Cricetulus griseus: one gene and its partner. The protein of the gene in region 2 purifies or fractionates together with the protein of the main gene of each other region. This does not show direct contact. Links are inferred from orthologs where the notes say so. Each region holds a gene or a part of one and is shown on either strand. Other genes may lie near its edges.

What was found. The genes of interacting proteins can lie anywhere in the genome.
Region 1: the proteins of Smarcb1 (region 2) and Bcl7a purify together in Homo sapiens (affinity purification with mass spectrometry; 7 studies listed by BioGRID and IntAct, counting the BioPlex papers as one, with this or other methods). This does not show direct contact. The link is inferred for Cricetulus griseus from reciprocal best matches to the Homo sapiens genes SMARCB1 and BCL7A.

Annotation. Positions count from the first base shown.
Region 1 is NC_048597.1:103,112,926-103,116,672, forward strand, and holds the start of Bcl7a (B-cell CLL/lymphoma 7 protein family member A), read left to right. Parts: upstream 1-1,109; 5' UTR 1,110-1,623; intron 1,624-1,650; exon of another isoform or gene 1,651-1,736; intron 1,737-1,850; exon of another isoform or gene 1,851-1,888; intron 1,889-1,894; exon of another isoform or gene 1,895-2,008; 5' UTR 2,009-2,012; coding exon 2,013-2,104; intron 2,105-3,747.
Region 2 is NW_023276806.1:262,704,468-262,708,114, forward strand, and holds part of Smarcb1 (SWI/SNF-related matrix-associated actin-dependent regulator of chromatin subfamily B member 1), read left to right. Parts: intron 1-716; coding exon 717-855; intron 856-2,488; coding exon 2,489-2,618; intron 2,619-3,647.

The DNA.
Region 1 (3,747 bases), on a different chromosome or scaffold from region 2:
TATATAGTTTGTTTGAGACAGGATTTCTCTGTGTAACATGCTTTGGAGCATGTCCTGGAACTCCTTCTGTAGACTAGGCTGGCCTCAAACTCACAGAGATCTGCCTTCATCTGCCTCCCAAATGCTGGGGTTAAAAGTGTGTGCCACCATCACCTGGCTACAAGTGCATTTACTAAGCTGTCTTGCTGACCTGATGTGTGGATTTGTTTATGTCTTATTTTTAAAGTATATACATACATACATACATGTACATACACATGTACACACACACATTCTATGTGGGAACTATGGAACAGCACTTGTCTAGCACTAAACAAAAACTAATTCCCTCAGGCCCAAGCAGGGAATTGAACTGAGGGTCAAAATTATGAGACTTCTGATTTATGGCATATTTTCCAATCCAGCACTCAGAATGGTTCTCTAACATAATTGTTTTAGTTTTTTGTTTATTTTGCTTTTCAAGACAGGGTTTCTCTATTCTAGATCTCACTCTATAGGCCCAGATGGCCTCAAACTCACAGAGGCCCACCTGCCTGTGCCTTGAGTGCTGGGATTAAAGGGGTGCACCACCACAACCTGGGTGTTTGATTTTATTTATTTATTTATTTATTTATTTATTTATTTATTTAGAGACAGGGTCTCACTATTTAGTCCTGGCTAGCCTGGAATTCCTTACATAAGCCAGGCTGGCCTTGAACTCACGGAGATCTGCCAGCTTCTGCCTCCCAAGTGCTGGGATTAAAGGAGTAGGCCACCATGCCGGACTACTGTTCTTATTTTTATTTTTCACATTAGGGCCATGTGATTGAAATGGTAAAATGATGTGCTTGGGGGGAAAGCCCATACATTTTGTTCTCATTCTCCGCTAGCTCTCTCTACCAGACCCCAGCACCGTCCCCAAACTTTAGGGGGTAACACAATCAATGCCGTCACAGAAGAAGTTCATGGCTGCAACCTGGAATAACTCCTTTCCTCAGTTTCCCCACCTGTGAAATGACTTGAGTTGGGCTAGTTCTTCTCCAGGCACTGGTTTGCTCACATTAGGTCATCTCTTTTCCCAGCATCCACCTGGGCAAGCATTTGCTCTGGTCCAGTCGGTTTAGCCTCAGCTGCCTACCTATCTGTCCCTATCCTAATTGACCGCAGTAGATTCTGCCACCTAGTTCTGTCCTGGGATCGGGAACAGCCCCTCAAAAGTCTTTCTGAGTTGGACCAGTCCAGTTTACCAGCTGCTCCCGGTCAGTAAACTGCGCTTCCACCAGGAGCCGTTTAAGATTAATTTGTGGTCCTGTGACCTACGCCAGCGAGCTTTATCCCCGACTGGGACAATTTATCTCCAAGGAAAAGGAAGCCTTGCGACAATGCCTACAGCCACCGGCCTCTGGCACCTTAAACTGCGACCCTAGTTTGATCATGGTGAGGCAGACGTCCTAGCTCGCACATTTCAACAAGGCAGCTAGCTGGCCAGAAACCGGCACCTCAACTCTTTCCAAGATCACGAGTCCGGAACCACCGCCTCCAACTCTGAGAAGTCAAGCGCCCGACAAGTAACTTGCACGATCGCACCCGAGGCCACCAACCCAAGGCCAGGGCACCCACGGCCTCCTGTCTGCCATCCCCAGGGTGTGTGTCTTGGGGGGAGGGGTTCCCACCACATCCGCGGCCTCCGGGGGAGTCGGCGCGCGGGCCAGTCCCGCGTGCTGGGAGGTCGCGGTCATCCCTGATCGTTTCCCTGGGTGAGGTCCCCGAGGCTCCCCGGGGAGGGCGGCGGCGCCCGGAGGCCGCACTAGTGGCGGCCGCGCCGCTCCCCCTCGCTCTGTGCAGCTGCCGCCCGGCGCTTGCGCACTGGGCCCCGGGCGCGCGGCGGCACCAGGCTTTGTGTGTGCGCGTATGTGTGTGAGTGTGTGTCTGTGCGCGAGTGAGAGAGCGGGCGAGTGTGGCGAGCAGGACCCGGCGGGCGCGCTCCCCCAGCCTCTCTCTCTCTCCTCTCTCTCTCCCTCCCCGCCAGAACCATGTCGGGCAGGTCGGTTCGAGCCGAGACCAGGAGCCGGGCCAAAGATGATATCAAGAGGGTCATGGCGGCTATCGAGAAAGTGCGCAAATGGTAAGCCGAGGCGCCTGCTCGCTCTCTCGCTCGCCCCGGCTCGCTGCACCGCGCCACGGCCGCTGGCTAGCCCGGACCCAGCTCACGGAACCGCGGGGCGCAGCGGCCCCGGGCCCGGAGTTGGCGAGGACGCGCGGCCCGGGTCACCTGCGCCCCGCGGGGGCTGCGTCCGCTGCCCAGGTGTGCTTGGCGCGGGGTCGCCCACCTGGCGGCGGCGGCGGCGGCGGCGGCGACAGCGGCAGCGGCGGCGAAGGCGACGGCGGCTGCAACCCGGAGCTCGGAGCTCGGGAGAGGGGGGTTCGCGGCCGGCCCCAGAAGCCATTTCGTTTTTTTGTGCAAGTCACATGAAAGCGGCTTCCCGCGCGCCGGGGCCGTGATGCCGGCGGTGGCGGCGGGCAGAGCGCGAGCTCCATTGTGCGGCGCGGAGCGGGCCGCCGTCTCCTCCCGGGGCGGCGCGGCGCCGGTGTCCCCCCAAAACACACACACACACACACACACACATACACACACACACCCCACGCCCCGACCCGACCCGCCCGCAGCTCCCCGCCTCCCGGGCCTCGGCGCCCTCGAGTCTGCGGAGTTTGCAGAGCGCGAGCCGTTTAAATTTAGCGCTTTGGGCAGCCTGGAGCGAGGGCTCCGGGCGAGGAAGGAAGATGGGGGCGAGCGCTGGGAAGGCGGTGGCGCGGCTGGCGAGCGGGGCACCCGCGGCTCCCACCCGCTCCGCGCGGCACCCGGAGCTCGGGGGACGCGATGTTTGCTGCCAGAAGCCAAGTCCTGGGCCGTGTCTGCCTTCTCCGAGCTGGAGCTGGTGTTTGTTTTGCGGAGAGAGCGAGCGACCGTTGTTTTTGTTCTCTGCACTGGGGGAGGAGGAGGGGACCGCGAGATTCGGTGTGGGCCGTGCGTGTTTTTCAAGCTCAAATTAGATCGTGCCCGGCGTGGCCTCGTTATAATTAGCAGGATGGAACATTTTCACGGGCCTCGTCGGGATCTGACTCCCAGGAGGCCCTAGAGGCCAGGCCGGAGGCGCCAGTAGTCCACCTCCAGGTTGGGTCAGACTTGTTGAAAACTCCCTGCTCCCCAATTTCAACTTTATTATGTCTTTTTTTTTTTTTTTTTCTCACGGCTTCATCAGGGTCCGAGAGGGAGACGAGCAGCCGCGAGGGTGCCCCTAAGTGTCAGCGGCCGTGGGCTGGTCCCGTCCTTTATAGGAACTGGCCAGGCCCCGCTGCAGGCTGTTTCTTTGGGGGGTGTCATTTCTTGAGTAACGCCGCTGTTGTTATTGCCTTTAAAAAAAAAAAAAAAACACTACTCGGGGGCCTGTCTCAGGTCTGGTGGTGTCACAAGTTAGCTGTCCTTTCAGAGTGAAACCCAACAAAAAAAAGGCAAGGAGAAAAATCAATAAAGTCCACGTGCTCCCGGGCCTCCTATGGAAAGGGCTGTCTTCGGATGGCCGGATGCCTGCCGTGGGCTGGGTTTGGCTCCAGTGGGACAAAGAATTTTCACAACCGTGAGAAGGGGAGGCTTTCCAAAGTTGAGATCCAAGTCCTGGGTGCCGGGAGCTCCCCTGCTGAGCAAGGCGCCCAGTGCCCAACTGGAGCCATTTAAAAATGGCAGAAACAGCTGCAGGCCAAAACACAGAG
Region 2 (3,647 bases):
GAGCCAGCACCTTGCACCGTGTCCCCTGGTTGTCCCCACTGTGTGACACTGCAGACATCATTTCTGAAGTCAGTGAGGCCATGGATCTTTATAAAAATCATAGGACTAGCTTTTCATGAAGGGTGTCCTTAAGTGTTGCTACAAGCAAACTAAGCTATTACTCGGGGGAAGTAGTGATTTCTAAGATAGTCCAGGGATTACTAATATAGGGCTTTTTAGACTTGAGAAAATTCTTTTGGTGTCTCTGGTTTGAGTTTTGTTACTAAATAAAGCAACACAGGCAGCGGGACAAATTATCTTGCATCTGTCTAAAATTAAAGACATTTTGGTGTTTATTGCCTTGTAAAAATATCAAAGTCTGCTTCTTAAGATGAAAGGAGGTCACAGGAGTCTCAGATTTCAGAAAAGTGCCAAGAAATCTTTCGTCCTGATCGACATCACAAGCTCCTTACTGAGGTCTGGGATCCTCCCCAATAGACATCTGGTCAGATCTTTTGGAACTTGGTTCTGATGTCAGGATACACAGATTCCAGCCAGATGTGCACTGCTGTTGAACCCTTGATGTCAGCAAAATGTGTTTTATGGCTGCTGACAGGCTGGCGTCTGGAGGCCTTGTATCTCATGTACTTGATCCAGCAAATCCTCTCTGCCAGAGCCCTTCGGCATAGTGATCGATGGTCTGACCCTCATAATGAGCCTTCTTGCTTTACTCATAGGTGGGAAACTACCTCCGTATGTTCCGAGGTTCTCTGTACAAGAGATATCCCTCACTCTGGAGGCGACTAGCCACTGTGGAAGAGAGGAAGAAAATAGTTGCATCGTCACATGGTAAAAAAACAAAACCTAACACTAAGGGTGCGTCTTCACGAGGGTTTGTAAACCTGTTTCAAAACCACTCGCTTATGTCATGAAGATAAAACGTTTTCACTCCAGTGTCTTCATTGCAGCCTGACCTTAGTTCGGTAGGGAGCATCCCAGGGGCAGGCCACCCTGCCAGCGCACACATGGTTCAGTTGAGAGTAGCTCAGCGAGTCTTTGGTGCTCCACTGTTGTGTGTTCCTGGCTGGGCCAGTGGGTATGTGAGGGGCCAGGGCCAGGGCCAGGGTAGTAGCAGGTGCTGTGAAGACATGTTGGTCTCAAAACGTTTTAGGAATGCTGTGATTTGCTACCATTTGCTGTGAGTGTGTTGCCGTAGTCGTCCTTCTTGCAGCCCTAGTAGCAGACGGTGGCCCCAGCCCTCACTTTCTTCTGGGGCTTTCACCGCTTCCCTCCCAGAGCACATTTATCTCATAATACTTCATCTTGGCAACCAGTATGCTAAGCTCATGTGCATGTACCCATTCCACGTGGCCTGCCCTGTGCCTGGGGCTTGCTAGGTGAGCCACCTGGTGCTAGTGAAACTAGTGCAAGGTCTGGGCTGTGGCAACTCTGTGCAGAGTGAAGATGCTCTTCATACATTTTGGGGCCTCTAGGAAGAACATTTGGGTATGGGCGCAACATGCCATTTGGCCGGTGGCAAAACTGCTTTCCACTCAGCAGAGGCACCCTGTAGAGAGCTGCCCTGGGCCTGGGTGCATGTGTCCGTGCATGCATGCGTGCTCATGAGCACTCTGTAGTCTGTCTTGTCAGTAGGTGCTAATGTGCTAATGTAGTTGTCTGTTGTGGTGTATTGGGGTTCTTTTAATGCAGGAGCCAGAGCTGCTTTTTATCCACTTCTGAAAGAATCCACTATTGCCTGAAACAGTTTCCTTTGTGTCCCCTCTGCCAAAAGTGGAATATAGTCACTAGCATGGTGGCTACCTAGCTTTGCCTGCCCTTCCTTGAGTTCCCATGAAGCCTTAGTGGTCTTGCTACCATGTGCCTTCCTTTCCTATAACCAAGTGAGTCCTCCAGCAAAGCTAAGCAGGTCCTGCAGATAAGTAGCAGCGCTTGACAGAGGTTCCCTAGAACTGGGCGGGGAGGGGGGGGGAGGCATATCACGTGGTGTGAAGTTCTGTCTTGTTTTCCAGACAACCACATCTGGCCTGACTCAGGGATGGTAACTTTTGCTTGGTGTGAAATAGTTCTTTCCAACTCTCTGGGCTCTTGTTTTAAAAGAAGAGGATTCATCTTTCATTCTGTCTCCCATCTTGCTTTGTGTTTTAGATTGTGGTGGTGTCAGACCTCTTCCCACTGGGGTGTTACTCTGAAGCCTTCCTGGCAGCCCCTAAGCTGCAGCTACCCCCAAACATGTCTGCCCCAGAGCTAGTGCTCTTAAGAGGCAAATTCGTCCAAATCCATCCCACCAGAGGCTTTCTCCACTGAGATGTCTAGGTAAAGCCTCAGTCCGGATTGCCCTTTTGGAAGAGGCTAGCACTCAGCAGTACTGAGTTTGACACCTTGCTTTCCCCACCTCCTGCATGTGAGGACCTCGTGTGCTGTATCAAGTTGGTTGTCAGCTTGTTCACACTGCTGCAGGATGACCACAGTGGGGTTTCTCTGCTTACAGATCATGGGTACACCACCCTCGCCACCAGCGTGACGCTACTGAAAGCCTCGGAGGTAGAAGAGATTCTGGATGGCAACGATGAGAAATACAAGGCTGTGTCCATCAGCACAGAGCCCCCCACCTACCTCAGGTATGCCTTCCTAATCTCAGTTTGCTCCAGAGACATGTGGGGGTATGTGTGTGTGGGGGTCTCATCCTGAAGAACAGGGTAAAGTGAAAGTTGCTCACTCACTATGTTTATAATTGCCTGACCTTGGTTTCTAAGTTTCTTCTGTATCTTTGACATTCTTAACAAACATAGGCCAAGTCTTGAGTTCTGGAATGTTCTGAATCTGGGACTCATTTGCCCCCCCCCAAAAAAAATTGTGACTCAGATAAACTTCCAAAAGAAACAATAGATTTGAATACACACAGGTAGAACTTTGAAAAAACCTTTTCCTTCTTTCTTTTTTGAGACAGTTCTCATGTGGCCCAGGCTGGTCTTAAAATTTGCGGTGTAGCTAAGTATGGTGTTAAAGTTAGAATCCTCCTGCCTCTACCTCCTCGATGCTTTGATTACAAGTGTGTGCCATCATGCCTAATTATAATAGTGCTGGGGATGGTACCCAGGACTTTGTGCACACGAGCAGCGCTCTACCAACTGAACCATCTCCTCCTCAGGTCCAAACAGGTGTTTTTGGTTTTCTTTTCTTTTTTTTTTTTTTTTTTTTTTGATCAGGGTTTTTCTGTGGCCCTGGCTGTCCTAGAACTCACTCTGTAGAGCAGGCTGGCCTTGAACTCACTGGTGCTAGGATTGAAGGTGTGCATCATCACCACCCAGTCAAGACAGGGTTTCTCTATGTAGCCCTGGCTGTCCTGGAGCTCACTCTGTAGACCTTCCTGGCCTCGAGCTCAGATGTCTGCCTGCCTCTGCCGCTGGAGTTGTCTTTTAAAAATAACTTTTAAAAGTTGTATTATTGTAGGCTGGAGAGATTGCACGTGTGTGACATGCCATGCGTGTGGAGGTCAGGGGACAGCTTTGTAGAATCAGTGCCCTCCATGTTTTACATGTGTTCAGATCACCACACTCGCAGAGCAAGTGCCTGTGCCCAGTGGGCCATCTTCCCATCCTAGACTGGAACCTTTAGGAAAGTAATTGTGGTGACAAAAAGGCAAGTCC